4 linked regions of the Arabidopsis thaliana genome follow. The protein of the gene in region 1 interacts with the protein of each later gene in a biochemical or structural test. Each region holds a gene or a part of one and is shown in the gene's direction. Other genes may lie near its edges. The genes, in order: STM, MPB2C, ATH1 and RPL.

What was found.
Region 2: the proteins of STM (region 1) and MPB2C form a complex in vitro, tested with the Arabidopsis thaliana proteins (one study listed by BioGRID).
Region 3: the proteins of STM (region 1) and ATH1 form a complex in vitro, tested with the Arabidopsis thaliana proteins (one study listed by BioGRID).
Region 4: the proteins of STM (region 1) and RPL form a complex in vitro, tested with the Arabidopsis thaliana proteins (one study listed by BioGRID).

What each region holds. Positions count from the first base shown.
Region 1 is NC_003070.9:23,057,156-23,064,929, reverse strand, and holds STM (KNOX/ELK homeobox transcription factor), read left to right. Parts: upstream 1-2,866; 5' UTR 2,867-3,207; coding exon 3,208-3,636; intron 3,637-4,096; coding exon 4,097-4,352; intron 4,353-5,042; coding exon 5,043-5,296; intron 5,297-5,924; coding exon 5,925-6,134; 3' UTR 6,135-6,348; downstream 6,349-7,774. Other genes in the region: AT1G62350 (Pentatricopeptide repeat (PPR) superfamily protein), read right to left, coding at 6,995-7,417. UniProt on the Arabidopsis thaliana protein: Required for shoot apical meristem (SAM) formation during embryogenesis. Negatively regulates ASYMMETRIC LEAVES1 (AS1) and ASYMMETRIC LEAVES2 (AS2 or LBD6). Probably binds to the DNA sequence 5'-TGAC-3'. Binds to RNA.
Region 2 is NC_003076.8:2,598,893-2,605,709, reverse strand, and holds MPB2C (movement protein binding protein 2C), read left to right. Parts: upstream 1-2,774; 5' UTR 2,775-3,031; coding exon 3,032-3,232; intron 3,233-3,493; coding exon 3,494-3,577; intron 3,578-4,034; coding exon 4,035-4,355; intron 4,356-4,496; coding exon 4,497-4,715; coding exon of another isoform or gene 4,716-4,775; exon of another isoform or gene 4,776-4,811; coding exon 4,812-4,967; 3' UTR 4,968-5,267; downstream 5,268-6,817. Other genes in the region: AT5G08110 (UBQ, helicase-c and DEAD-like helicase domain-containing protein), read left to right, coding at 5,596-5,775, 5,878-6,456, 6,546-6,817. UniProt on the Arabidopsis thaliana protein: Prevents homeodomain proteins (e.g. STM) association to plasmodesmata and, consequently, cell-to-cell transport. Binds to RNA. Alters STM RNA binding capacity. Regulates cytoskeleton (e.g. actin) organization that determinates cell shape.
Region 3 is NC_003075.7:15,913,044-15,920,994, reverse strand, and holds ATH1 (homeobox protein ATH1), read left to right. Parts: upstream 1-2,841; 5' UTR 2,842-3,455; exon of another isoform or gene 3,456-3,606; 5' UTR 3,607-3,789; intron 3,790-4,106; 5' UTR 4,107-4,121; coding exon 4,122-4,970; intron 4,971-5,062; coding exon 5,063-5,406; intron 5,407-5,498; coding exon 5,499-5,559; intron 5,560-5,962; coding exon 5,963-6,130; 3' UTR 6,131-6,325; downstream 6,326-7,951. Other genes in the region: AT4G32990 (Transducin/WD40 repeat-like superfamily protein), read right to left, coding at 27-251, 375-461, 586-765; AT4G32970 (BRISC/BRCA1-A complex protein), read left to right, coding at 6,695-6,949, 7,152-7,310, 7,403-7,696, 7,773-7,886. UniProt on the Arabidopsis thaliana protein: Transcription factor which may be involved in the signal transduction pathway downstream of the COP1 gene. Controls floral competency as a specific activator of FLC expression. Is responsive of the nuclear import of SHOOT MERISTEMLESS (STM).
Region 4 is NC_003076.8:392,461-400,588, forward strand, and holds RPL (POX (plant homeobox) family protein), read left to right. Parts: upstream 1-3,106; 5' UTR 3,107-3,293; coding exon 3,294-4,013; intron 4,014-4,713; coding exon 4,714-5,114; intron 5,115-5,468; coding exon 5,469-5,529; intron 5,530-5,866; coding exon 5,867-6,412; 3' UTR 6,413-6,665; downstream 6,666-8,128.

The sequences.
Region 1 (7,774 bases):
TTTTTTCTCATCAAGCTGTTTACATTTTTAGATATAAAATCATATTCTTTATAGTTTAGAATATGAATTAAATAGTTTTATATGTTATTAACTTATCATAAGATATGCGTGAGGTTGGCCAAAAACTCATCAATTAACCAAATAAGAAAAGTAAAATTGTATTTTGCTTTGCTAAAAATGTAAATATTTCATTGAAAAATGAAAAAGGTTTAGGTAATACAATTAAGTAAATCCTACAATTTTGGTTCCATGGCAAAAGAATAAAATTGTATTGCTTTGGTAAAAGTTGATCCAACTAATATATTCAGTAGAAACTGCAAAACTGAAGAAATAAGTTTGTTTAGTAGAATTGCTTTCGGTTATGTAATGAATATACATCCAAAATGGCTTTTTAGTAATGATGTCTTTTCATACTCTTTCCAATCCCTACTACTTTCAGATTATTTGTCCTACTATTATAGAGATATACGTTCGTTTTCAATAATATGAAAAGTGATATATATTTAAATAGTGTGATATATATATAAGTTTTGCAAGTGCATCACTTCCCAAAATCGCATAAATCATTAATCATATTGTCGAAAACAGTATAATAACTTCTTAAACGAAAACGCAGCGCAATTAAAAATAACAACTAGAGATAATTGACAAAACATTGATTAATATTTACCTATAAGTTAATTATTGTATTTAAAATTTATTTAAAGTTCATAAGGAAAACATATGCAAAAATATTTATATCTAATATTTTGCTATGTTATCCTTTTTTTTTTTTACGTTATCCTAATTTTGTTTATCCTAATTTGTTGTGGTTAAAATCTTATTATTGATAAAAAGAGAACTTTTTTTTTTGTCATCATAAAAAAGAGAACTTATTACTTCGATTTTAAAATTCTATGAGCGTAGGAGACAAAGAAAAAAAAAATAAAAAAAAAAAGAAGAGAAAAATCACTTCTTTTCTTCTTTTTAGTCCAGATCCAACATATTTTGGATAACTAAATGAAGATTTTTTAAAAAAATATATTTTAGGGTATATATAAATCATAATTTGAAGCAAATGAAATAAAATCCAGTTTGGTAATATATAAATATGATTTGATGGGTTCCTTGTAATCTCTCTCTATCTATTAGTTTCTCAGTTATCTTTTCTTTGCCAGAAATGGCAGTGAAGGCAGTGGCTGAGGAGAGAGTTTTTTTTCTTCTTTCATGGGGAAAGTAAAACTTTGCCTTGAAGATTTCTCTCTTCAATATTTTTCTAAGACTTTTGATTTCAACGAATCACTGTCCTTAACCTAAAAGCAAGAAAAATTAGCTTTATACTGGTCTTTACTTTTTTTTAACATATTTATTTTTATATAGTTTACTTATAAACATAGACATACGAGTATGGGAATATATAGTATATCCAACTTCTAAATAATATTTCGAATAGTGATAACAAAATTAGCAATACATACGGCTAGTGAAATGTTGATCGAATAAACGGCACTGATGTAATGTACTTATCAATTTTGATAATTTTAATTGTATTGTTTTTCTTTTTTTCCCACAGTATTGAACTAGACAATTAAATTTAAAGTAAAATTATACATTTCTTTCGTTGTGTATTAAAGTAACATGCATAATATCATTTTCCTTCGTACAATCCTCCAAATTGACAATTGATGAATTACTTTGTCAATCGTAAATGAATTTTTCTCAAGTCTGTATACTATTTTCAGGGATAAACAGGTACAGGTGTCCCATGCTTATTCTCTTGATAGTAACATGTGTCCTATGTTGAGTCAATTCTACGTTCGAAGAAGTGCTAACAATTGTTAATAGCCTCGTATATTATTCTAATTAAAATGCCTCGATAGATTTGGTTAGTGGTCTGAATGTGATTGGTTATTTTTTCAAGTGGCAAGAGGTCTACCATCTAATATTACAATCAATCGACCAAAAAGGTCGAGAACATGATAATGGTGGCAAATACAAATGGTTCATTGTTGTCTAATATAACAAGCCATCAGTTGTCACTTTTTAAAAACAATACAGAATACAAGATACTTTTTTTTTAAGGTAAAATGTGTGTTTAATATTTTCGTTTATATAACAAATAAACAGTTACATGTTTTACTCTATGATTATATTTATGACATTTTTCTTCTTCTTAACAACATTTTTTTCCCATAAGAACATTTACAATAGTATTAAAACTTTGATTGCAATCAAATGTTAGATCACTTATTATAAAATTACTAAGACTGCTATCTTTTCCTATTGACAAAAGCGAATCCAATATATGTTACTGAAACAAATGCGTAAATTATACTATATGGAGATCTATCGGTTAATTATTGAGAGAATCTAAGAAAGTTTTTGAGTACAACAGTCCTAATAATATCTTCACATACCATATAATATACATATATACATATACACAAATGTACTTTTTAAACCAACATCAGCATACGTATATCCCATCAGGAAACTTAGACTTTTGGGAATTCATGGTATGAAAACCAAAACCAAATGACAACATTCGATTTGATACTCCCGACCCATGGTAAAGAAATAACAAATTCCAATATATCTTTCACTGGACTTTCCGAGGCACATTCCGGTTTTCTCCATTTCAAGAAATTGTCAAAAATAAATTGAGATCCGGTTTATTACCTCAAAAAAGAAGAAGAGAAATTACAACATTAATTTCCGAAAAGGCATAAATGAGAAATCATATTTCAGCAGAAGAACACAAAAGAGTTAAGAACCCACAGATCACACAACCTCTGTCCATGTCTGCTTTTTACACTTTTTTAAAATAAGTTTCTCCTAAAAAGTTATTTCCTATTTATAATAATTTCCTTAGATTTATCTTCCTGGTCTCTCTTCTGCTGCTTCCCTCTCCCCCATAACTATCACTATTTAGAATTTTCAATGTGGAAAAGGAAGCTGATTGTTGAAGCATAAATCCCGGGAGACCACTTTTGCATTTTCAAATAATTAAATTAAACCATAGATACACACACACAGTTACTTACTCTTTTAGGGTTTCCCAATAAATTTATAGTACTTTAATGTGTTTCATGATATTGATGATAAATGCTAGCTGTATTTACAATGGGGGCTCCTCTTTTTTTTTCTTTATGTTATTTTCATTTTTTATTTCTCATAGCTATATAGCAAAGCCAAAGTGAATAATAATACTAGTGAGAGAAAGAGAAGATGGAGAGTGGTTCCAACAGCACTTCTTGTCCAATGGCTTTTGCCGGGGATAATAGTGATGGTCCGATGTGTCCTATGATGATGATGATGCCGCCCATCATGACATCACATCAACATCATGGTCATGATCATCAACATCAACAACAAGAACATGATGGTTATGCATATCAGTCACACCACCAACAAAGTAGTTCCCTTTTTCTTCAATCACTAGCTCCTCCCCAAGGAACTAAGAACAAAGTTGCTTCTTCTTCTTCTCCTTCCTCTTGTGCTCCTGCCTATTCTCTAATGGAGATCCATCATAACGAAATCGTTGCAGGAGGAATCAACCCTTGCTCCTCTTCCTCTTCTTCAGCCTCTGTCAAGGCCAAGATCATGGCTCATCCTCACTACCACCGCCTCTTGGCCGCTTATGTCAATTGTCAGAAGGTGATGAGAGAAAGAAACTTGAAAAAATTACTTTGAAAGTTTCTTCGTAACTCTAATGATTCTTATTTGATTTTCTTGCACAAAAAAGAAGAGAAAGATTCTAGAAACCCTAATTACCAAACTTTACCTTTTATTTCCTTTTTACATAACCCTTTACTTGATGTCTGAGTTTGATTTTGATATCTACTTTTGTTTACTAGTTACTTAACCCAGCTAAGTATATACAAATCAAAGGATACAATTTTTCCTATATTGAGAAAGTTTCAAGAAACAATTTGTAAAAACCCTACTTGCAAGAGATTATCCAAAATATTGTATGTAGGCTTGAAGATTAGGACATATATAATTATTTCATTTTTTTCTTTACTATATTATATATCCACAATAAACGTGAGGATCCTTATCTTAGTTCAATTAACGTTTTTATGTCTATCATTTACTAATTACACAATTTCTTAAGGTTGGAGCACCACCGGAGGTTGTGGCGAGGCTAGAGGAGGCATGCTCGTCTGCCGCAGCCGCTGCCGCATCTATGGGACCAACAGGATGTCTAGGTGAAGATCCAGGGCTTGATCAATTCATGGAAGCTTACTGTGAAATGCTCGTTAAGTATGAGCAAGAGCTCTCCAAACCTTTCAAGGAAGCTATGGTCTTCCTTCAACGTGTCGAGTGTCAATTCAAATCCCTCTCTCTATCCTCACCTTCCTCTTTCTCCGGTTACTCTCTCCTCTCTCTCTAGTTCTCTGTTTTTTTTTCTTTCTTTTTAATTCATATTCTTGTTAATTATGGCGTCAAATTAAACGTAAGATGAGGAAAGTTGTTTTTTTTCTTTGTGGGTTTTAAGAAAGATTTTCCTTTTTCTGATTTTTCTTGGGTAAATACCCCTTTGATGGTTGTTACTAGGGTTAGTGTCAGATTGTTATATATAGCTTACTAGGTTTACGTGTATAATCTATCTATACATAAGTTAGTGTATGTAGTTGTTTTCATTGAATTAAAACAGTTTGTTTACTGTTTTTTTGTTTTGTTTGGAATTGAATTCATTTGCTTTGGTACAACAACAATCACTGTTCTTGTCTCTTTCTTCTCCGTTTGTTTTGGATCTATTTAATTCAAATGCATCAAAAAGAATATCTGGATCTAGAGTCTGCTCGTCCTTAGATCTATTGCTCAATTTAGACATACACATGTTTTTGTACGTATAATCACATATACATATATCTACACAATGTCATATCACTCTTCTTTTCAAGAATGTAGTTAAGTTTATATAGACACACAAACTCACATCTACTTAACATGTTACTTTGAATTATTTGGATCACTAGCCTATTCTTTTTCATTTCCCTAGACACATGTTCTTGTTGACAAATTTGTCTTGCTTTCACATGTTTAATCAATATAAGGTTATGGAGAGACAGCAATTGATAGGAACAATAATGGGTCATCCGAGGAAGAAGTCGATATGAACAATGAATTTGTAGATCCACAAGCTGAGGATAGAGAGCTTAAAGGACAGCTCTTGCGCAAGTACAGTGGTTACTTAGGGAGCCTCAAGCAAGAGTTCATGAAGAAGAGGAAGAAAGGAAAGCTCCCTAAAGAAGCTCGTCAACAACTGCTTGATTGGTGGAGCCGTCACTACAAATGGCCTTACCCTTCGGTAACTCTCTTCCCTTATACTCTAATTAAATAATCATTTCATGTTTTTAAAAAAGCATTTATATGATAGCAAATTCAATTTAGTTGTCTATTAGCTTGTTTCAATGTTTTTAGTGATTTTTGCATTCATACTATATCGTTAGGGACATTAGTTTATGTTAGCTCATGTTGGCATTGCACAATATGCATTTGCATAATTTGAAATCCTAAAAGCTGAATGAAGTGAACTTATTTAGTCTATGTGTACTGTTTTGGTCTATTAGCCGATGACAAACTTGATTCTTGCTTCCATACCTTTTTTAGGGTCCGAATAATATGTCAATCTTAGTCAAGACTACGATCAATTTCATCTTATGGCTGTGTACCATAACTTAGACTAAACTTTGTTGCACATATTTCAAGTCATAACTTTGGAAAGTAGGGTGCATGAGGCCATACCCTAATGCAATAGTAGCTCATGTCTTTATTACACTTGTATAGTGTCATTACCCATGTTCGTATGAGTAGATGGATTCTAAGTTCTCCTTACAATCTAGCAAATCGTGATGTAGCTGTGATCATGGACTGACCTTATATCGGAGAGAACACTTGATGATTGATTTTTTCTCGCATGTGATATGAAATTGCAGGAGCAACAAAAGCTCGCCCTTGCGGAATCAACGGGGCTGGACCAGAAACAGATAAACAATTGGTTCATAAACCAGAGGAAACGGCATTGGAAGCCGTCGGAGGACATGCAGTTTGTAGTAATGGACGCAACACATCCTCACCATTACTTCATGGATAATGTCTTGGGCAATCCTTTCCCAATGGATCACATCTCCTCCACCATGCTTTGATCGATCCTTTAAAACGTTTATTTCATTATATTTATAATCGTTAAACAGCTTATAATATGTATAATCTATGGTTCTCGGTATACTTGGAACATATGAAACATGTTCCGATTGATGAACAAGCGTTTGATGTTGTGGTGTGTATCCTTTTGTGTTGTTCTATTGTTATGCGAAATTCCTATTCCTATTATAATGATAGTAAAGCTTTTTTGATCTATTCTTTTTATTTGACAACCTTTTTGACAATTTGGACCATTTTTTGGTTGTATGTATATCTTCCTTGCTAATTTTTAAGTATTTGCGTCGAAATTTTGTACTTTTGGGATGGAAAAGACGAAAAGAAAAGAGAGAATGCTATTACTCCAAAAGACCTAGTCTGGCCCAAACAGACCCATCACTATCCCAAAAAGACAAGATCGACCAAAACTTAATCCACTTCTAATAGTTTTGTCCCTTAAAACGCTTTCTGCTGTATGTATCTTCACAAACATATGACTTATCTTGAACCGATTCAATACAGCAGCATTTAGCATTGCTGAGAGTGATCTTTACACATATATACGCTTATAAGCTTCTCAAATTCTTCTTCATATGCTCCTCATCATCTTCAGTTTTCAATAGCCATAATTTGTTCCTACCAAAGACGAATAGTTCCAGTTTCTGCATAGCCACAATCTTCCATTTGTTTTCCCACTTGATCTAACCTGAAACTGGGACATGGTTCCTGAAGTTAGTGGATGTGCAGAACAAGAGAAACTATGGATCGAAGATACATCGGGTCAGCCTCGAGGATAATATCATCACTGACATTTTGAGCACTAACTAAACAGTCCAAACCAAGCATTGATTCAAGACATACCTCTCTATTCAAGATCGCTATCTGTTCTTGCTTCTTCATCACTATCTTCACATATATCCTCAGGAGGATCGTATACAATCATTCCAGGGAAAAGCTCCAAGAAATCATCTTTAACTTTCTCTCTCAACTCAGGATAAGGAACGAGTCCTTTCAAAATAACTCGAAAAGGCAGAGATAAAGGCCGGTCAGGAGACTCTCTCATCTCTCCATACAATCTCATTGCTTCTAAAGGAAGTTCATTATCCAAGAACCCTCGAACAAGGTCTCCAAATGTATGTTGATCAAACAAAACCTCTTCTTTCTTTAAATCTTCCCATACTTTCTTGGTTTCATCAACTTTCTTGTTTCTTGCAAGCATCATTAGCATGTCTCTGTAAAAAAACATGTCCGGTCTGTACCATATTTCTCTCCTCACTACTTCATAGAGCTGAAACATAATAAGAAGACAAACACTAAACCAAATTAAACATCAACGACAAGTGACAATACATAAACATCAACAAGCTCCATATAAACCAAACCGAAATAGTTTAACCAAACCAGTTAGGCTAATTCGATTCTGATTCAGTTTATTAGGTATCAAGCGGCAAGAGGAAGTATGAAATTCAGTAACTGGTTTGGTTCGGCATTGCCAAACCGAAATTACCAAAATTTTATCCTAAATATAACCGAATTCACAGAAATATACCAAAATTTAACCGAAGCATAAACATTAACAGTAACACCATCAACAAACTCCATAACCAAACTTAGAACTAGGCTTATAAAATCAAACCGAAATAGC
Region 2 (6,817 bases), on another chromosome or scaffold:
CGCGGTGGTAGCATCTTTTACCGTGGAGTTTCGTCGCCGTCGTTGTCTTTATCAATTATGATCTTTCTCGAACTAGAGCTTTTACAGTTAGGGTTTGAAACTTTGACTGGAATTAGAGCAAACTTTGGTCGTGATTGTAGTATTTTTTTAGTTTGGAATGTTGTTTATTATACTAGATATTAATCTGCAGTATACCGCGGACCTATATTTTTATTAAATAAAAAATAATTGAATAATTTTTAGGATGATTTAATAAATTTATGTTATTGTTTGATTTAAATGTATAATTCACCGCGAGACGAAATTTTATAACTCAAATTTTAAAGTTTTAAATTATATTTGTTTATTTTGTTAAATGTTTAATATTGTATAATTGTATATTGATTGTTGTTTCTCAGATTTCACCCGTAGTACACCATCCCATATTAATATCGAATCAAACCCGTCAATTCTAGGATTTCACCCGTGGTAGTATTTAATTGTATAATTATATTTTAATTGTCATCGTAGGATTTCACTCCTAATTCTATCGCAAATTATTATCAACCCAAACCAGTCAATTCTAAAATATCACCCGTAGTACACCATCCCATATTAATATCGAATCAAACCCGTCAATTCTAGGATTTCACCCGTGGTAGTATTTAATTGTATAATTATATTTTAATTGTCATTATCAGATTTCACTCCTAATTCTATCGTAAATTATTATCAACCCAAACCAATCAATTCTAAAATATCACCCGTAGTACACCATCCCATATTAATATCGATTCAAACTCGTCAATTATAGGATTTCACTCGTGGTAGTATTTAATTGTATAATTATATTTTGATTGTCATTCTAGGATTTAACTCCTAGTTCTATTGTAAATTCTTATCAACCCAAACAGTCAATTATAAAATTTCACCCGTAGTATAAAGTTTAAATATTTATAATGTTTAAATTTCTTATAAAAGAATCAAAATGTGTTTTAAAAAAATTAAAGTTTTAAGTTTTTTTTTTTTAATATTGTTAATTTTGTTTAGTGTTTAAGATTATATAATTATATTATGATTGTTATTATATGTTTTTTTCCATAGCATACTATCCCATGTTATTATCCACTCAAACCCGTCACACCATATAACCTCGTCCCGTGAAATTAAACACAAATTTGTCATTTTATTATAAATTTCAAATATTTATAAAATTAGAAACTTCAAAAAAGATTAATATTGACCCAAACTTCATCATTGAATTTTGAGTGTTATATCTAAGATTTCTCTCGCAGTATATCGTCCCGTATTAATATTTTTTATATTGTTTAAATTTCTTGTAATATTTAATTTATAATTTTTTAAACTTTTTAAAGTTTCAATTTTTTAAAATAAATAACCCTAGTAAACAAACCATTTTAATTTTGGACACCTCATAAATCAAGTTTCATGCTCATTCGTAATCGAAATCATTTTGGTCCTTTTTATAGTATGGCTCTTGACCATTGTCCAATTTTTTTAAGCGATATGGGACATTCTAAAATCGTAATTATTATCCACCCAAACCCGTCCTACCATATAACCCAGTCCCGTGAAATTAAACATAATTTTGTCATTTTCTTATAAATTTCAATATTATAAAATTTGAAACTTAAAAAAAATACAATATCGACCCAAAATTCATCATTGAATTTTGATTGTTATATTTAAGATTTTTCCTGTAATATATCGTCTCGTATTAATATATTTTTTATATATTTATAATGTTTAAATTTCTTGTAAAATTCAATTTATAATTTTTAAAACTTTATAAGTTTTAAAATTATAAATATTTAAAGCATTTTTTAAAGATATACTTTATAAAAAGTTTTTAAAATTATAATATTTAACTTTTGATAAAGTTATAATATTTATAATTTCTTGAAACATTTTAAAGTTTCAATTCTTTAAAATAAAAAATGCGAGTAAAATCGGATAACTATTTTAATTTTGGACGCCTGATAAATCAAGGTTCCTGCTCATTCGTAATCAGAATTATTTTGGTCCTTTTATAATATGGGTCTGAACCATTGTCCAATTTTTCTAAGCGATGTGGGACATTGTACACATATTATTTCTTCATAGGTTGAATAATATATGTCCGTTTTAAAAAATTTGAATTACATCATATTCAGAAAAAAATATAATATTTTATTAACTATATATATTTTATATAAATTCAAAATAAATAAAGTATAAGATCAAATAAAATTGAAAGAAGAATTATATATTTATGTTTAAATTAGGTAGAAATATTTTAGGAAATTAGTTAAGGTAAATAAGAAATATGGTTAGTTTAGAGATATTATTTATATTAAATTTGGTAATTAAATCATTAATTTTCGTTTTTAATTATTAGTTTTTAGATAACTTTTCCAAAAATTAATGTTATCCAGATCAGAACAGAATTAAACATGTTATCCAGGATCCGAACAGAGTTAAACCGGGTAAAATTCACCCATTTGAATTAATTGTTGAATTATGGCTCAAATCTTCAACATTATCTTCAAAAATCCCCTCCAAAAATGTATATATAGATATATAGATTCATGAAGTTCGTGAACCGGTTTTCTCGAATCGGGAACCAAAACGGCTCAAGACCGGACAAGATTGAAAGACACGACCCAATAACGTTTTCGATCAGAATAACCCGTATTGGAAAAGCATATAATTGAAAAATTGTAAAATGGAAAATCTCAATTTCCAAATTTTAAACAAAGCATAATGTTAAATTTAAGGGATCATAGAAGAAGGAAAGAAATTCAAAAAGCAAGGGCAAGTCAAGAGAATAGTGAAAAACATGAGGGTAAAATGGTAATTATAAGTTGGATAGTTTCAGATGAACGTTGGAGATTGAGATCCAAAGCTCAGACTCGGAACGAAGAATGAAACGAATTTTTTTAAAGAAAATAAAAATCAAGTCTTTCTCTTCGTCTATCTCTCTCTCTGCTCAGACTCTCTGGTGTTGAAGACTAATCACTGAAGCAGATCTATTATACGGAGGACGAAGAAGATGTATGAGCAGCAGCAACATTTCATGGATTTGCAAAGCGATTCTGGGTTTGGGGACGATAGCTCCTGGCTCGCCGGCGATGACGATCTTCGTCTCTCTCCTCACCAATCTGCCGCCGGTACGAACTCCGGCAATGAGAATCTAGATCGTCGTCTCTTAAAAGATCTCGTCGAGATGGTTCCCCTTATCGAGCATTACATGGTAAATCCTTTCTAACTCTCTTGGCCGTTTTTGTCGAGTTATCAGAGCTCAATAATGTTTGGGTTTCGAGGGGATTGCAGATTCTGGGATAGATTCGACGGAATTGGTTTCTTAATTTTGAGAAATTTGCAGCAATTTTGAAACTTTTTTGACAGATTGATTTGGACATTAAAATTTGAAATTTCTGAAAGATAAAGACTGTAGATTTCATATTTAGCTCGAAATTTATTGACTCTCTTCTCTCACTGAAACGATATATAGGAACATAAAGAAAGGAGTTCGTTTAAGCGGCGTGGTTCCATGATCTACACTAAGATGCCTTCAAAAGAATCCTTGTCCCGAAGGGTAAGATGTCAATCTTCTTGTCTTCTTCATCTCTTTATGGCAATTTTAACATTATTCATACACTGTAGCTTGGTTGCATAGGTATCAATAAGTTTCGACTTGGTTAACACTGGTAGTTTGCTAACTTGCTTAGATAATGGCTTGAGTTTGTGATCTTTTCCTTTTGGGGTATGAGCTGATATCAGCTTGGCGTTATGGCTTAATCAAAAATTGTATATTTAGAAGGGATTATAGATGTTTTTCAATTATTATATGCAGTAAATGTTGTTGTTGTAATGATGGAATCTGTTTCTGGAGTACTGGTGTCTTCATAACTTGGTTTAAAAACTTCAGTGGGTGGTTCGGGGGATTTGATTTCCCTCGCCAAATGTTTGCATCATTTCTCAAATGAATCTGTTTCTCTAATGCTCGGCTGTATAACTTTATTCACTTGTATTTGCATGTATTTGATCCAAAGGGAAGAAATGCTTCTCAAACAGTCCCAGGAAGAAAGAAGAGAGACCAAGAGGGAAATGACGATGTTATGAACAATTCTAGGGAAGATGATGAAAACGCAAAGGCTTTGGCTGGTGCAGAAAAGGAAGAAATGAGTAGACTAAGAGAGCAAGTGAATGACTTGCAGACAAAATTATCGGAGAAAGAAGAGGTTTTAAAGTCAATGGAGATGTCAAAGAATCAGGTAAACGAGATACAAGAAAAGCTTGAAGCAACAAATCGATTGGTTGCTGAGAAGGATATGTTGATCAAGTCTATGCAGTTACAATTATCGGACACAAAGGTAAACCTTTTTCCTCTTATGTGTCTCCAGATTTCTCCTTTGTGTTTACTTTGAATCTGGTTTTAAACAAAATGGAGAATATTCAGTTTGCTTCTACACGTACCTCACATTTTAATTGCTTCCTTTCACTGTCTTCACTAGATCAAACTTGCTGACAAGCAAGCAGCCCTTGAGAAGACTCAATGGGAAGCAAAGACAACAGGAACAAGAGCAATCAAGCTTCAAGAACAGCTAGATGCTGTTGAAGGAGACATCTCTACATTCACACGGGTGTTCGAAACTTTGGCAAAAACTGATTCCAAGAAACCCGATAGGGATTATGATGCAGTCCCATATGAATTTGATCATCTTCCATATTTAGTAAGCCAAAGAAACCACAATCCTCATCTCTCCTTTTTCCTTTTTTTTTTTTTTGGTTAATATCTAAAAACTTGTTGCAAAATGCGTTAAAAACAGGACGATGTAGATGAAACTGACCTGAGGAAAATGGAAGAAGCAAGATTAGCTTATGTAGCAGCAGTGAATACCGCAAAGGAACGAGAAGATGAAGAATCTCTGGTCATGGCTGCTCAAGCTCGAGCTTACCTGCAATCACTAGCCTTTACATATTAATCATCTTCAGGTACTTACTTCTTTATAGGATATTTCTCTCCTTGGGTTGTTTTAGGAGTATGTAGATTTGTACCATGAAGAAATTGGAGAAGAAAAGCTTATGTGAGAAACATAAAGTTATGGTTTTCCCCTAAACCAATGAACGCAACTCTGAGTTTTTGTTTCTTCATTTGAGCATGTATGTATCTATATGATCTTCTACATTATTGGGAACATAAAATCAGATTGTATAATGCATCTGTTCAATAGTTTACTTTAGATATACTCTTAACAAGGAAATCTATCAACTTTGGAATCTAAAGCAGCCATACTTGTTCAACTTGAAATCGTGGAATGATGAATTTGGGCTTAATTAGTTAACAAAATATAGTTTGGGCTCACATTGAATTCCTTTTAATAAGGTAAGGTCTTTTTAGTGATAATCTTAATCTAATAATAGTTCACACGGGTGGGAAAAAATACAAAATAATAATAATATTTCACACGTGCCGAATTCGGCTGTGTCAAAAATTCCGCGCCATTAGCCCATCGATACGAAGTCGAGTTCAAAGCCCAACAAAGTTTTAAAACTATATATACATTAAAAAGTTCTTTCTTTGTTAATGGAAGGAAAAAGTAAAATCCGGTAATGGAGAACGAGAGACGCAGCGGCGGAGGAGACAGTGTTCCGATCTCTGTCCGAAGCATTAACGGCGAATCGACGACCGTTCAGGTTTCCTCTGACGGGACAATTCGTGACCTAAAGAAAGCCCTAAAATCCTGTTTCCCTCCCGCTTCCTCTTCTTCCAATTTCCATCTGTATATCAAGGTAATGCTTATTATTCTACTACACTCGTTCGCGATTGCTTTCAAGTTTCGTTTTCTAAATCAGCTCTTCAAGGATAAAATTAGAATTTCTCTCTTTTTGTAGGGTGAGAAATTGAAATTGGACACTAGAGTGGCTGCGATTACTATTAATGACGGTGATATCTTGGGTTTATTTCCGTTTAAGAAGAAGGAACTTCGACAGACTCCAAAACCTGATTTATCAAAACCTTCCTCCTTGAGTTCAAGAACCTCAACTATGAAAGATGAAAACGCTAAAAGAGCTGAGGATCATTGTGTTGGTGAGAAACGAAAACGGGATGAAGAAGCGTGTCCATATGGATTCTTTAATGATGATTTGGAGTCTGAGTGTAAAGATGCATTCAAGGGTCAGAACACAGAGAAGCTTGCTGAGGTTTTAAAGTCCAGGAATTGCTTGACATCTCCAGGTTCTACAAAATGCTTGATGTCATGGGATTCAAGTAGCTCTTTGTGTTCTTGTCCTGATTGGGTGAAATTGTCTATGGAGACATTCGCGTTTTTGAATATTTTTTCATATGTTCTTCAATCACATGGAGAAAAGTTATATTTAACCCGCTTGAAGGAATCTCTTTCCCGGTTAGCTATGTCTGGAGTTCGTGTTCGTATACAAGACGTTAAGAATCTCTCTGTTATATGCCCCAAGGTGATTTTTTTTCCCCTATATCTTTTAAGTATACCTACTTATTCTGTGACAAGAAGTTTTTATATGTAACCGCCAATGGTTGTTTGTAGGTAGTAAAGGTTATCACTGATGACTATGAGGCTGTGAACTATGAGAACGCTATAGTTATAGCTGACTATCTGGAGATGGATGAAAAATCAGGTCGTAAAAAAATTCCTCTTGCAAAGCTCTTTAGTGCCATGAAAAAACGGGAGGCTTCCTTTAAGTCTGATTTCTGGGAGTCCATCAGATCGCTACTGAACAAAAATACAGGTGAGAGTGGAATAGCTATTTCCTTGGAGGGCTTGCTTAAATTTGCCAGTGAAGGAAGAGCTGATGGTGG
Region 3 (7,951 bases), on another chromosome or scaffold:
CACATTTGAAGCATTGTTCTCTTAACCTTGATAGTGTTATCATAACTGCAAGAGAACAAAACATCCATGGTGGGATGCCACAAGACCATCTTAACATCTTCTGAATGACCAGTTAACACTGCAATAGTATCAAATTCATCGTCCTCCTCTGGTTGTATTTCCCAAATCCAGACAGACTTGTCTCTACCACAAGTTGCAAGCAACGAACCAGATGCATTCCATGATACACTTTTGACTTCGCTTTCATGTCCCTAAGAAAATTCCACGAGATTTTAAAAAGTCAAGAAACCCAGAGGGACATCAAAGCCCTACAATAAATTTCAGTTGTCAACAAACACATAAAGGATAGGCCTTTGAGATAGTACATTTAGTACCCGTAAAACAGAGACAGACTCGGAGTCAGTAGCAAAATTTTCCCAAACGCAAGTATTGCCATCGAAACTTCCCAGACGGTGACCAAGCTAACGACTTCACACTTCTTGTGTGCGCGCCTTCCAAAACAGCCTGACCAATCACGAGGCTTCATGTTCATTAGTGACACATTATCTAACAACATCAAATTCGAAAGAAAGAGAGAAGAGAGACCTTGCAGGTCCAGGAACGAGTAAGAGAACTCTGCTCCCAGATTCGTACGGTCTTATCGGCACTGCAGGAAGCAATAACACCGTCAGCGGCGGGATTCCAGGCGACGTTCCAAACACGATCAGTGTGACCTTCAAGTTTCTGAACCTCCTCTAACCCTAAATTCTTATCCATCACTTTCATCTCCTTCTGGATCAGCAGAGAAGCCTATAAGTTCCACGAAAATCAAATTTTGCTATATATATAATATCGGCCCGTCGAGGTAAATAACAAAAGTTAAAGCATATGGTTAAGATTAATTTCCAATAAATTTTAGAAAGTCTAAACAACCTCTCAAGGTATTTTAAGAAGATACTTTTTCCAATAAAATAAAATCTATGGAAAATATTTGGAAGATATGGAAATATTGAGCTGTAAATTCTCATTTATCTGATTTGTAAATTTTCTTTCCAATTTTCTAAAAGTAAAAATTTACTTTAATTTTTTTTTGGGAAAAACCACACCTTTTAATGTATTGGAATAAGGTGAATGGTTTGGGCTCTCTCAAGGGATGTCTTTCTTGCATTGCATCATCTTCTATTCTTCTTCTATCTGCATTGCATCAATGAATCCACTAAAGTTTGGTTCCTGGATGGGTGGTGATAGAGATGGAAATCCAAATGTCACGGTAAAGGTGATAATGAGGGCTTGCTTTCTACATTACTTTTTTAGGGTTAGAATTTTGCTGGTCACTCAACTTGCTAACACACTTTGCTGGTCATTAAGAGTGAGTCCTTGATTTCTATGTAAAGATTAACTTGCTAACACACTTGGTTTTATCAATAAATTTCTTGTTCACAGAAGGAGTATTGCATATGTTTAGGTGGATGGCTATCGATCTTTACGTAAGAGCGATTGACATCTTAAAATTATACGCCGCTCTGAGAATGAATGTGTGTTTTCTGACCCTCAAGTGCTTCAGACACTGAGAATGAATGTGTGTTTTCTGATCCTCAAGTGCTCGACTTCTATATTAATTCGAAAGGAGTTAAGATCAAGTAGATTGTTGAACCTCAGTGAACTAGTTAATGCCCTCTGTGATCATTTATTCCCATTTTGCTTAGTCTGCCTATATATAATTCTAAGTCAATGAACTTGTATAATATTCTAAGCAAGACATCAGTAGCATATAGTATAAGTTGATACACAATAATTAAGCCAAATGACTTGGGAAATTATACGACTTCAGATAAAAAGCGCTCTAGTCTATGGAGTAGATTAAGCATCTGCTGGTGCTGGAGTCGATAGGCTCCATAGCCAACGTACATTTTGTTTCATTTTAGAAAAAGCATTACAAGTTCTTGTTTGGACTATCAGACAACAAAAAAAAGTAACTTTTATAATTCGCCTAGGACCCAAAAGTTATGAGCACGGGTCTAATAGTCTAACATTAATAAGTGTTATTGATTAAGATCGTAGGCATGATTAAAGATGCATTCCAGCTTCAGTTAATAGTCGGTACTATAGTTCCTAGTGTTATTGATACTATTCTGCTTTACTAAATCAAAATTTCAAACTATTAAATAATATAGACTTGTAAGCAAACAATAATAAGGATATGATATCAATAATTATCGATTTCTATTGAAAATAATTTTGTCCTATACGAACAACAATAACTGTTTCACCAAATCAATATCCAATTTTGCTTGGAGTGGCCATGCAAGATACTTGTCCTTGACCCTTTTCTTTGTCTCATACCAGCTTAGAAAGTCATTGTTTAGGCAAGTACCATTAACATTATTTAAAATACAGATCAAGTCACGCTAATACAGATCAAATCAAGTACCATTAGATTTTCTTCTTCTTTTGGTTGTAATAAAGAAGAGCATAATTTCAGATGTTGCAATCTATATAGTCTACGAGTAATAGAGTTCAATTCCATCATCATTAGCCATGATAATAAAGACGTAACACATAACGACACATTGAACTTAAAATAAATAAATAAATAAATAAAAATGATAAGAAAGGAACAATCAAAGAAAAGGCCAAGCAAATTGATTGATATTTTTGTAAAGCTTACGTAAAAAACTTATATGAAAAAAATACGTAAATGGATATAAGATTTGATGGCACAATACAAAGACACGAGTGGTGAGAAAAGAAAGAAGAAAAAGCAAGAACCCAAATGGATCACACATCTCATCAATTCTCCTTAAATGGCTAAAAAAGATCTCACCCTTCTTTACTTTTTTCCCTCTTTCTGATTTGTGATAATTGAAACCAGCACAAGAAGACAACACCATTTTCTTATAACTTTATAAAATTTTATAAATAGAGACACATACATATATATATATATAGAGACATGTAAATAGTAAAATGTAGGGTCTCTTCCCTAATTTAAAGCCTGCAACAGAAATGAGTGCACTTCTCTGTAGTAAACAGTAACACATCGGTCTTCTTCATGTCTTTGGATTTCTTTTTTGGATTTCGATTCTGTTTCAACCATATATTTTCTTTAGATAATTTTACTAGATTCATCTCTTTCTCTATGAACAACATTTTAAATAAATGACATTTTAAGAAAGTGATTATATATAAGATTTTCTTGATTCTGATTTATCTTTTTTTTTGGTCGGAAGATCTTAAAGATATGAAAATGGATTCGTGTCATAAACAGAGGCAGCTCCGTACGTGATTTGGCCCTCCTTCTTTTCAACTTCTTCTTTCTTGAATATTAAAGTTGTATTTTTCCCCTCGATAATACAACTTTTGGTTTGTTTATTTAGTTATAAAATGTTGCTATTTGTTGATCTAGTGCTCTGAATCTTTTAGTGAGGCAGATGATGAAGATTATGAATTTCTTCATGAAATTATTGTAAGAAAAAGTAAGTAATTTTTTTTGTAAGTGTTTGCGTTCATGCAAAAGAGATTAATCAGACCCACTTTTCTCTTTTTCAGTTTTGTTGCATTATTTTGTTCTCTTTAATTTATGAATACTAACTTTATTGTTGATTTCTGCTTTTTGGTTCTCTTTAGGAACATAGAGAAGCTGCGGAATGAAAGTACACTGTTCTTTCACGGAGAAAGAAGATAAATAAGCATTATCTTCTTCTTCAGTTTTTAACACACATTTTGGAAATTTTGATGTAAAAATTCTCTTTGGAACGTTGTGTTGTCTGAAATCTTCCCAAAGGTTCTATCAGAAGAAGAAGGATAAAGGCAAGTTTCAACATTTTTAATGTTCTATGGACATTTGTAGTAATCTAAAGCTTTCTTTTTTACTTATTAGTTCACTGTTTATCACAGATAGCTTTGAGATATTATTGGTCTGTGTATCATTGAGCCTAGTTACGGCTTCATTAACTCATGTTTCGGTTCTTTATATATTTTAATGAAATATTTAATGACATAGTGAGCGATGTTCTCTGTCTCTTGCAGCATTTTACATTTAGTACTATTCTCCAAAGATTTGGTTTCTTAGATTTTCTGAAATCTTTTGTCTAAGTCTTAAATACTTGTCTTCTTTGGTAATGCAGTTTCATAGAAACCCAATGGACAACAACAACAACAACAACACTTTTAGTTCTCTGGATAATGTCATGACTAACCAAAATCCTCTTCTCATGGATTTTATACCTTCAAGAGAAGATTCAACTTCATTCTCAACAATGCTTCCATGGAATACCATCAGATCAGATCCTCTACAAATGGGTGGCTTTGATATTTTCAATTCTATGCTGACTAACAAATACTTATCATCTTCTCCACGGTCTATCGATGTTCAAGATAACCGCAATGTTGAGTTCATGGCTCCTCCTCCTCATCCTCCTCCACTTCATCCTTTGGATCATTTAAGACACTATGATGATTCCTCAAACAACATGTGGGGTTTTGAAGCAAATAGTGAGTTTCAGGCATTTTCAGGTGTAGTTGGTCCAAGTGAACCAATGATGTCTACATTCGGTGAAGAAGATTTCCCGTTTCTAATTTCGAATAAAAGAAACAATGAGCTTTCATTGAGTCTTGCATCAGATGTTTCTGATGAATGCTCGGAGATAAGTCTTTGTGCAGCTACAAGATTAGCCTCAGAGCAAGCTTCTTGCAGCAGCAAAGACATTTCTAATAACGTTGTTACTCAAGGTTTCTCTCAACTTATATTTGGCTCAAAATACCTTCACTCTGTTCAAGAAATACTATCTCATTTCGCCGCATACTCGCTCGATTATTCATCTCGAGGAACCGAGTCAGGAGCTGCTAGTTCAGCCTTTACTTCACGTTTTGAGAATATAACTGAGTTTCTTGATGGTGATTCTAATAACTCGGAGGCGGGTTTCGGATCTACATTTCAAAGGAGAGCATTAGAAGCAAAGAAAACCCATCTCTTGGATCTTCTTCAAATGGTATGTAATATATTCATTCACTTTTTTTGCATAAGTTAAAAAAATGGTTTGATATATATGATGAAGTTTTATGAGTTGATATTTCTCTTCAGGTGGATGATCGATATAGTCATTGCGTAGATGAGATTCATACGGTTATATCAGCGTTCCATGCTGCAACCGAGTTAGATCCACAGTTACACACCCGGTTTGCCCTCCAAACCGTTTCCTTCTTATACAAGAACCTGAGAGAGAGAATCTGCAAGAAGATAATCTCTATGGGATCTGTATTGGAGAGAGGCAAAGACAAGACTCAAGAAACCTCTATGTTCCACCAGCATTGCCTTCTTCAGCAGCTGAAACGAAAGAACCATCAGATTTGGAGACCTCAACGAGGTTTGCCTGAGAAATCTGTTTCGGTTCTACGGAATTGGATGTTCCAAAACTTCCTTCACCCGTAACAATCCTTACTCTTCTTAACTATCTACTTTATGATGATGACATTGTTAACTCGATTTTATAAGCAAAGTTATGTTTTATTTAATGCAGTTACCCGAAAGATTCGGAGAAACATCTTCTAGCTATACGAAGTGGCTTGACAAGAAGTCAGGTAATGTCTCATGTTTGTTTTCTTATGCAATGACTCATTGATAACAAGCTTTGTTTTCTTATGCAATGACTCATTGATAAGATCTTTGTTTTCTTATGCAATGACTTATTGATAACATCTTTGCTCACAATGATAGCAAATATGGTATTCAAATGAGTAATATATATCTTGACATACTAGTCATGTCTGAAAAACCGGTATTGGTTATTTTAAGATGAGATTAGGGCTAGGAAAAAATCAAGCTTTTCTCTTGAACTACAAATGAGACTAGATTATGTATTCTTGAATTCACAATAATGTTACTCAAGTCCTAGGATTGTAGTCGCACATATGTTTTGTTACTGAAGTAAGTTAAAGCGGGCAAATGATATAGAGTGTGTCTCTTTGTTGTGTGTGATTAAAGGTATCAAACTGGTTTATAAATGCGCGGGTTAGGCTATGGAAGCCGATGATAGAAGAGATGTATGCGGAAATGAACAAGAGGAAGCTCAATAACAGTCACATTCAACCCAACGGACCAACTCTTCGAATGCCAAAATCTGTTATGATGAGCCAAGCAATGCATAAATAAGACAACAATTGTGTTTACCAACTTTGTGATAATTAGGCAATTGCTACTCTATGATTGCCCAAAACCTAAACCATGTACGACTATCATTACGTATGTTATAATTGTATATACAACTCCTTTATCTTTGACTATTTCATTTTATTATCCTGTATTCTTATATCATAATTATCATCATCCTCATTAAACTTCATGATCACCATTTTTACGTAAAAATAAAATTAAGTTCATGAAAATATATAAAAAGTATGTAACCACTGAAGATTTATTTTCATATTTATTCAAACAAACTACAAAATACAAACCTAAAGTTTTATTTCACCGTTTGCATTTAACTTTTTTTCTCTTACAAGTGAGTTTTATTATTCCAAAAACTGAAATGAATAATGACGAAAATCTCCTAGCAAGCGACGTCGTATTTTGGTTTGACTTGAGAATCTTCGGTCAACTAATAAAAACGCAGCGTTTTCATCTGGTACGGACACAATTAGAAATAGAAAGTAGGAAAAGGAAGACACTTTGCTAAAACTGAGGAAGAAAGTGTAAAGACGGAGCCTTTTACGGCGAATGGAGGAAGACAGAGCCACCATGACCGGAGCTGTAGCCACTCGAGACTCGGTGGAACCCAGCGAAGACATACTCATATGCGTCGATGTTGATGCGGAATCGACGGTGGAGATGAAGACCACTGGAACTAACGGTAAGCCTTTGAACAGGCTCGAGTGCCTCAAGCTAGCCATTACTCGCTTTATCCACGACAAGCTCTCCAGAAATTCCGATCATCGCTTTGCTTTCGCTACCCTCTCCCAGTCAGCCGCTTGGGTAAGACTTACTTTCTCCCCCAGCTCTCTTTATGTTAGGTTGCTTTTGCTTTTGAGTATGCATGCTCCTTAGATGTCAAATTTTGAATTCGTGATGTTCATTGGACTATGGTAGCTTATAAATGTGTTGAGAGAGTCATATTTGATGTATTGCATAAGCTTCACTAGTGTGACTGTTAAAGTTGAGGTCTTTTATGTTTCAGCTTAAAAAGGAATTCTCCAACGATGCTAAATCTGCTGCTGCTTCTTTAAGAGAAATGTCAGCTACTAGATCCTCTGGTCCAGCGGATCTCACATTTCTGTTCCAGGAAGCGGCTCAGGAAGCCAAAACTTCCAGAGCACAAAATCGAATTTTGAGAGTGGTAAGTTTTGTTTTGTGCAAATACTATCTCTTCTAGCCACAGCGTGATAAAAGAATCTGTTTTACAGATTTCGTTTATATTTTGCTCTTCAGATTCTCATGTACTGCAGGTCATCCGTGAGACCAACCCATGATTGGCCTATAAACCAGAAGCTCTTCACATTGGATGTTATGTACCTGCACGACAAGTCGGGTCCTGATAATTGTACTCACGATGTGTATGACTCTCTTGTTGATGCTATAGAGCGTGTTTCGGAGTATGAAGGTTACATCTTTGAGGGCAGTCATGGGCTTTCACAGTCTGTTTTCAGGCGTATGTCAACGTTGTTATCACATCCTCCTCAAAGATGTGCTCAAGTTGATCTCCCCAAGCCTCCTGCAAAGAAGGTGACTGCGGTTAAGAAATGCTTATATGACTTTTCTCTTCTTTTGCTGATGCAGACATTCTTTGATTTTGTTTCAGCCAGCTGTTTCCTGTGATAAATCAGCCTCAGATTCAACGAAAGGAGCGAAGCAACCGTTAGAAAAAAAACCTAAGACAAACACAAAGAGAATACACAGCCTAGGCAAAGAGAAAGTATGTTTTTGTTCTTTTCACGTTTAATAACTGTTGCTCATATCAAAGACTCTGGGAAGAACCTT
Region 4 (8,128 bases), on another chromosome or scaffold:
TATACATACACTCGCCTTTGGATGAAAAAGCAACATCACATGACAAAATCTTTCTACAACCCTTATCACTGCAAAATCTCGATCAGCCAGACAATTCTCACCACTTGGGTTTCAAGCCTTACACATCCATGTTGTTTTAATAAAATTCCAAACCATCCCCATTATTTTTGTAACTAGGGCTCCCCCATGAAGTTATTTTTGTGCAATATACTAACATTTAAGAAAAAAAACCTAGAAAATTGAAATGATACAATTATTATGAATTTACTAAAATTAGAGTCGCAAATCTAAGCGCGCATTACATCTATAGAGGCAGATAATGAAAAATATATGTAATTTTTTTTTGGGTTATATACTATTTTATGTTCAGCCAAGAAGGTGAAAAAGGAGCGATTGCTTAAAAATGTTTTCGTGTGGTTACCCGTGATGCAATGTAAAAAGAAAAAAGAAAAAAAAAAGAAGAGAAGAGAAGAACTAATAATTACGTGCACTTTAATTTACTGTAATACTTTATTGGAGTGCCTTGGTTCTTTTTCAATTTTTGTGGTCCATCTTAGCCAAAAGAGGAAATACTTTTATATAATATAAAATATTGTAACGCAAAGTATTGCTTAGTATTCGAAACACATTTTTTCAAATGATTTACGTCCCATTATTTCCCATGCAAACGGAAATATCCTCTAATGATTATTTCAAACACGATTATTACAGTACAGTCGAAATTACTTTCCCGGTTTAATCATATTCTGGCATATCTTATAACATATTTTTTGCAAAGGTATTCGCTTTTGTTTTTGTGACAAATTATTTATTAGGTTTTTAAATTATTACAAATAACTCTCACAGACGTATGTAATCCAACACATAAAATATATGGTTGATAAGAATTCACATCAATTTTGATTAATTTAGGGACTATAAATATGTTATATACAATAATTAATCTATGCATCTTTTTTAATCATTGTGATTGTTCTAGTTATAATAAAATATGGTTGATCACAATTCACAACAATTTTGATTAATTTATGGACTATAAATTTGTTAACATAATTAATCTAGGCATCTTTTTAAATCTTTGTGATTTCTCTAATTATATAATATGAACTGCAGAATTTGATTGTTCTCAATGTATAATCTTACGGGTCATACCATACCATCCATGCTTTGAGTTAGGGATGTCAAAATAGGTCAAAATTCATGGGTCAACTCAACTCAACTCAACCCATGAACCCTAATGAGTTGAAAATTTTGACTCAAATGAGTTGATGAGTCAAATGGGTTAATGAGTCAATTGGTTTGATGAGTAAAATGAGTTGGGTTGTAATGGTTAATGGTTTCAATGGTTTACCCAATTAACCCATCAAATTTTATAAAATTGAATTAAACCAACTAAAATCTCTAAACCAATGCCAATTTAAGTTTAACCAACACATCTAAACAAATTTAATAAAATTAATATTTTTCCAAATTTCTTAAATATACAAGCGATGAAATTGAGAAAAAATAAATTCGTAATTTTTCCACCAAAAAACATAAACCCGTGATTTTCTCGCCAAAAACGTAAACCCGTGATTTTCCCGCCAAAAACGTAAACCCTTAATTTTCCCGCCAAAAACGTAAACCCGTAATTTTCCCACCAAAAACGTAAACCCGTGATTTTCCCGCCAAAAATGTAAACCCGTGATTTTCCCGCCAAAAACGTAAACCCGTGATTTTCCCGCCAAAAACGTAAACCCGAGATTTTCCCGCCAAAAACGTAAATCCGTTATTTTTTCGCCCAAAACGTAAACCCATGATTTTTCCGTCAAAAACGTAAATCCGTGATTTTCCCGCCAAAAACGTAAATCCGAGATTTTTTCGCCGAAAAGCTTAAACCCGAAATTTTCCAGCCAAAAACGTAAACCCATCATTTTCCGGCCAAAAACGTAAAAAACTATAATTTTCCTGTCAAAACGTAAATCCGTGATTTTCCGTACCTAAAACGTAAACCTGTAAAAAATAAAATCCGTAAATATCTTAAGTTTGATGATAATGAATTAATAATGATAATTATTTATTATTGTTTTATAATAATAATTAATTAAATTATTACTTAAATGGGTTAACATCTCAAACCATTAAATTAAATGAGTTATAGGTTGACCCAACACATTTAACAAAATGAGTTGGGTCAACCCATAACTCATTTATTCTTAAACTCATTTGATTATAAGTTGAGTAGAGTTGGGTTATCCATTTTGATATCCCTACTTTTAGTACTATAGCTACAAGCCTACAACTATGGAGATTAGTGTGAATGTATGATTGTCGAATAAAAATAGAGTGACTAAATATTTTAAGCGTAAAAAGGTATTTATTCCAGCAAAAGAAAAGAAGAAAAACGACAAAAAGAAGACTTAAAAGTTGTAGAAATGTCAGTACGTATGTGAAAGACTGAGACACAGAACACTTTGTACAAGAACCAGTTCCAGTGTCACCGGTTACAGCCGGTCGCCTTCTCTTGATTCCCCAAAGCCTCTCCCACCAAACCCGGGACTTTTCACTTTTCATCAGTATTTTTTTTTGTTAAAGATTTTCATCAGTATTTTATATATATATATATATTATAAAGATCGAATTTGTTTGCATGATGAGGAAAGTATATCGAGTTACTATGTATCCATCGTTTGAAATACCCGTTTTAAAAAAAAATAATGAGATTTATTTTTAGGACTTCAGTATATATACGATTAACTTTTAACAGTTGTGTGACTAAAACGAAATGTAACAAAAATAAGAGAAAACTACAAAACAGGTAGTGAAAAATGACAAAAAAATTGTAGGACGCTAAGACGAAAAAATGATTCAAGAAAGAATATGTCTTTTCAATTTCAGTTTTACGAAATCGTGTAATAACGTAAATACTAAATCACGATTTCACAGAACCATATAAAATACTAAAATCCCACGCAATCATTAAACTTAATTCACCATTCTACGGATGACCTATGAGAGAGCATTGAATTGGCTTTAGTAACAAACACCAAAAAGATGAATCTTGACCAAATTTGTAATGCTCATACTAAATTCCTCCAAGTCTTATAAACATTAGATATTTTATATTTTAGGTTTTCAAAATATGTCATATAAAGAAAAATTTGATATACATATTGATCGTGCTTCAAAAAGACACCAAAAGAGCTTCTCTCTCTCTTAACCTCTCGTTTCGCCATTATCTCTTACACTGTTACTCTCTCTCTCTCTTCTTCTTCTTCTTCTTCTTCTGCATCTCATCGACATCATCCTTTCCCATGGCTGATGCATACGAGCCTTATCATGTTCTTCAACAAAGCCGGCGAGACAAACTTCGTATTCCATCTCTCGATTCCCACTTCCACTTTCACCCTCCTCCTCCTCCTTCCTCCGGCGGCGGAGGTGGCGTCTTTCCTCTCGCTGATTCCGATTTCCTCGCAGCCGGTGGCTTTCACTCCAACAACAACAACAACCACATATCTAACCCTAGCTACAGTAATTTCATGGGATTTCTCGGTGGCCCTTCTTCTTCTTCATCCACCGCAGTCGCCGTCGCCGGAGATCATTCCTTTAACGCCGGACTTTCTTCCGGAGACGTTCTTGTCTTCAAACCCGAGCCTCTATCTCTATCTTTGTCCTCTCACCCTAGACTCGCTTACGATCTAGTCGTTCCCGGTGTTGTTAACTCCGGATTCTGTAGATCTGCCGGTGAAGCCAACGCCGCCGCCGTCACCATCGCGTCTAGAAGCTCTGGTCCTCTCGGACCTTTCACGGGCTACGCGTCGATTCTTAAAGGATCAAGGTTCTTGAAACCAGCACAGATGCTTCTTGATGAGTTTTGTAATGTGGGTCGTGGGATTTACACCGACAAAGTCATCGACGACGATGATTCTTCTCTGCTTTTTGATCCGACGGTTGAGAATCTCTGCGGTGTTTCTGATGGCGGCGGAGGAGATAATGGAAAGAAAAAATCAAAACTCATCTCCATGCTCGACGAGGTATACAATAACATGATCAATTCTAATCTCTTTAAATTATTGAAATCTGTAAATTTTCTTTAATTATTGTCTATACTTTCTTACAAGTATGTGAATTATTGTGTTAAATGTTCACAGTTTTTGGTCGGTGTCCTTTGGAATTGGAGACAAAATGTGTTAAATGATATGTCTCTTAAAAAGATCTTCCTTGGAAAATGAAACTCCTTCAAAGCCATTTTAAAATTATATGATATTTTATTTAATTCATTATAATACCATATGTTAATTAAATTAATGTTCCCTACGTTTTGCATGAATAGATGATGTTATAGCGTCCATTTTAATACATTATATAAATTACAAGCTTGCCATCTTCATGCTGATTTTTAATAGAATTTTAAGGTTATACTAAAGTAAGGATAATATTATCTTGAGGAAGTAACTTTATATAGAGCTTCCTTAGCTCTTGATCTGAATTTGTGAATTAGATTCTTCAAATCTTAGGGGTATAAACATTAAGTGATAAAAAGAGAACGTCTTCTTTATGAAAGGAATATATGCATTATATGATCTTAAAGCTAGGGACTTAAAGATTTTAATTAGTTTATTCCGAGGTATATAACATACTTTTTGAGTGAGGAAATAATGTATAAATTTATAATCACCCATTTTATTATGTAAGTGGGGGAATCTAAAAACATTTCCATGTGACGTTTTGAAGGTTTACAAGAGGTATAAGCAATACTATGAGCAGCTACAAGCTGTGATGGGATCATTCGAATGCGTTGCAGGTCTCGGGCACGCTGCTCCGTACGCTAACTTAGCCTTGAAAGCATTGTCTAAGCATTTCAAGTGTTTGAAGAATGCTATAACGGACCAGCTTCAATTCAGCCACAACAACAAGATCCAACAACAACAACAATGTGGTCATCCGATGAACTCTGAGAATAAGACTGATTCTTTAAGATTTGGAGGAAGTGATAGTTCTAGAGGCTTATGTTCTGCTGGTCAAAGACATGGATTTCCTGATCATCATGCTCCTGTTTGGAGACCGCACCGTGGCCTACCCGAACGTGCTGTTACTGTTCTAAGGGCTTGGCTCTTCGATCATTTCTTGCATCCGTAAGTAACCCTTCTCGCCATATAAATGCTTTTGAAAGTTGTTGGATTCGAGTTTGAACTTGGTTCCAACAATTGATTAAACTAAATGCAAACGTTTAATTGATCATGAACCAAATTGTATATATATGCTTGTGAACAATAGCTTTATATGTGTGTGTCAGTGTGAATAAATATGTGTGTATCGAAGTGTATTTTTACTTGGAAGTATGTTTTAGATGGGACATGTCGACTGCTTGTTTGTTTCCCAAACTTGGAGATGTCGTGTTGCAAGCGTAATTATGTGTCTATATATATGTGTATGTTAGTATATACAATGATATATTAAATTGTTGTTGTCTGTGTCTTTTGTTGCAGTTATCCAACAGATACAGACAAACTCATGCTGGCTAAGCAGACAGGTCTCTCCAGAAATCAGGTTTCACTTCTGATATCTTCAGTCTTCTTCTTTTTTCTCTTTCCATCTTTTCTTGTTCACAATTTAACAAATTTCTTGCTAATTAAGCATGCACATAGTCACATAGATAAATATATGCTTTTATGAAATGAGTTTCTGTTGTCGGACAATAATTATATGTTTTAAATCTTTTCACATATATCATTAGTATAGTAACTATGTTATAATTTGGTTTATTAGGTTTGAATAAGTGTTACACTTTTGTTTTTGAAAATTTATCCGTTGGTGATAATGAATAATTTAGGGATTTTCTATCGCTTGAGGGTTATTAATTTATTATGGTAAAATGTTATTTTAGGTATCGAATTGGTTCATAAACGCAAGAGTTAGGGTTTGGAAGCCGATGGTGGAAGAGATTCACATGCTGGAGACTCGACAATCTCAGAGATCTTCTTCTTCCTCTTGGAGAGACGAACGTACTAGCACCACCGTCTTCCCTGACAACAGCAACAACAACCCATCTTCGTCCTCGGCACAGCAAAGACCTAACAACTCATCTCCGCCTAGACGGGCACGAAACGACGACGTTCATGGCACAAACAACAACAACAGCTATGTAAACAGTGGGAGCGGCGGCGGTAGTGCGGTTGGTTTCTCGTATGGAATTGGGTCGTCGAATGTGCCGGTGATGAATAGCAGCACAAACGGAGGAGTGTCTTTGACGTTAGGGCTTCATCATCAGATTGGGTTACCGGAGCCTTTTCCGATGACAACTGCTCAGAGGTTTGGGCTTGATGGTGGTAGTGGCGATGGTGGTGGTGGGTATGAAGGGCAAAATCGTCAGTTTGGGAGAGATTTTATTGGTGGTAGTAATCATCAGTTTCTACATGATTTTGTAGGTTGAGATTATTTGTGTGGAAAGGAAAAAATATGTTTGACGTTTGGGTATGTATAAGAAGATATGGGGGAATTGAAATGCATATGATGTGTATATTAGAATGTTTCTTCTTCTTTTTTTGTTGTTTGCTTACTTTCACAAATGTTATCTTTTTAAGAAATGAAATTGGATTCAATAACCAATGTTAAAAACATGGGTTAGACTTTAGAGTTGTCTATGTCTTGGTGAAATATAAAAGGCATCTATCATTGTTTTAATATTTTGGCATGATTCAAAACATGGTGCTTTTTTTTTTTTTATGTATGTCACAATTATCGTTGAAGAACGCGATTAAGATGTTTATCATTGATCGTTGATATTATATTTTGAACTATCTTGTTTTACTTGATAGTAAACATTGACTAAACAACATGTTTTCAAACCCTAAACCTTGAAATATTTCAGACTATTTGAGTTATCTTTTTGAGTCGGATGCAGTTTTGACTCCGATCCGCTCAACATTGTTGAATTCTTCTACTCATAAAAGAAGTTTGAGCCGATTTCAAACACACAAAACAAATGAGTTCGGTTTAATGTTCAGTGTGTACTAATACGTTGGCTTTTGAAGATCACATGAGAGCAAAAGTATTGAAAATAAAATTGTGCTTTTGTTGCTTCAAATAACTTTCCATTTGCTTTTGGAAAACAAGAAAGATATATATATATATATATATATATATATATACATAACCTTTCCCTCTCATGGGAAAAAAGTAAATCTTTTTCTTTGTAGAATTTATTCTCCGATCCTAACCATTTCTCAGCCTTTTTGTTTGTTTACACCATTTTTGTTTATATTCTTGGATTATGTCTATATAGAATAAGATGTAAACATAAACTGTATTAGCAAATATGTTTTGAATTATATGAAATTCAATAATTGAGAAGAGGTTCATGTAATGAGCCGAGAGAAGAATATAAAAGCAGTCAAATAATTTTTTCAAAAAACTATTTGTATATTAAAAAGGTACAAAGTAAAAAATAAATTTAAGAAGGTGCCATCATTGGCTCCTAAAGAACAAACTACAAAGAATCAATTTCTCATGATTTGATCTCTCACAATCCGTCTCCTTTATGTGGATGCGGAAAAACACTCTCCACACGTTTCATGTAAAAATTTTAGTTAAATTTCTAAAAACAATAGAGATACTATTCGATTTGTTCTTGAATTATTCATGAATACATATAGTGGCAACCTTAGACACTAGCCACGTCAACCGTACATGTTATATCATATATTTTTATATTGGTCTATCTATATGCTGAACTAGAGTCTAGAGATAAATATGAGAACATATAAGAAACCATGGACAACTAAAGATATTGTCTTTCTGTGTGAGTATTTGTTCCAGAAGCATTAAACCTTCGGAATAAGTATAATTCTTTTGCACCATTACTATTTTTATAAGCTTCACCAGCTCTATATATATTCTCACCATTAACATAAAACAACAACAACACGAAGAAGAAGATGAAGGTACTTGATGATGAACGGGTAATCTGCATCCTGAGGTTTAAAACCAATTAAGCATATACATATGCGAATGTATAGTTTTTAATCCTCGGGATACAGTTTACCTCTTCCTTACTCAAGAAAACACTTAGCTTTAACGGTTTTGGAGAAAGAAGAAGCATCGAATTAAATCCATTTGAAACAGGTTAGTTATCTTAGTGAAGAATATA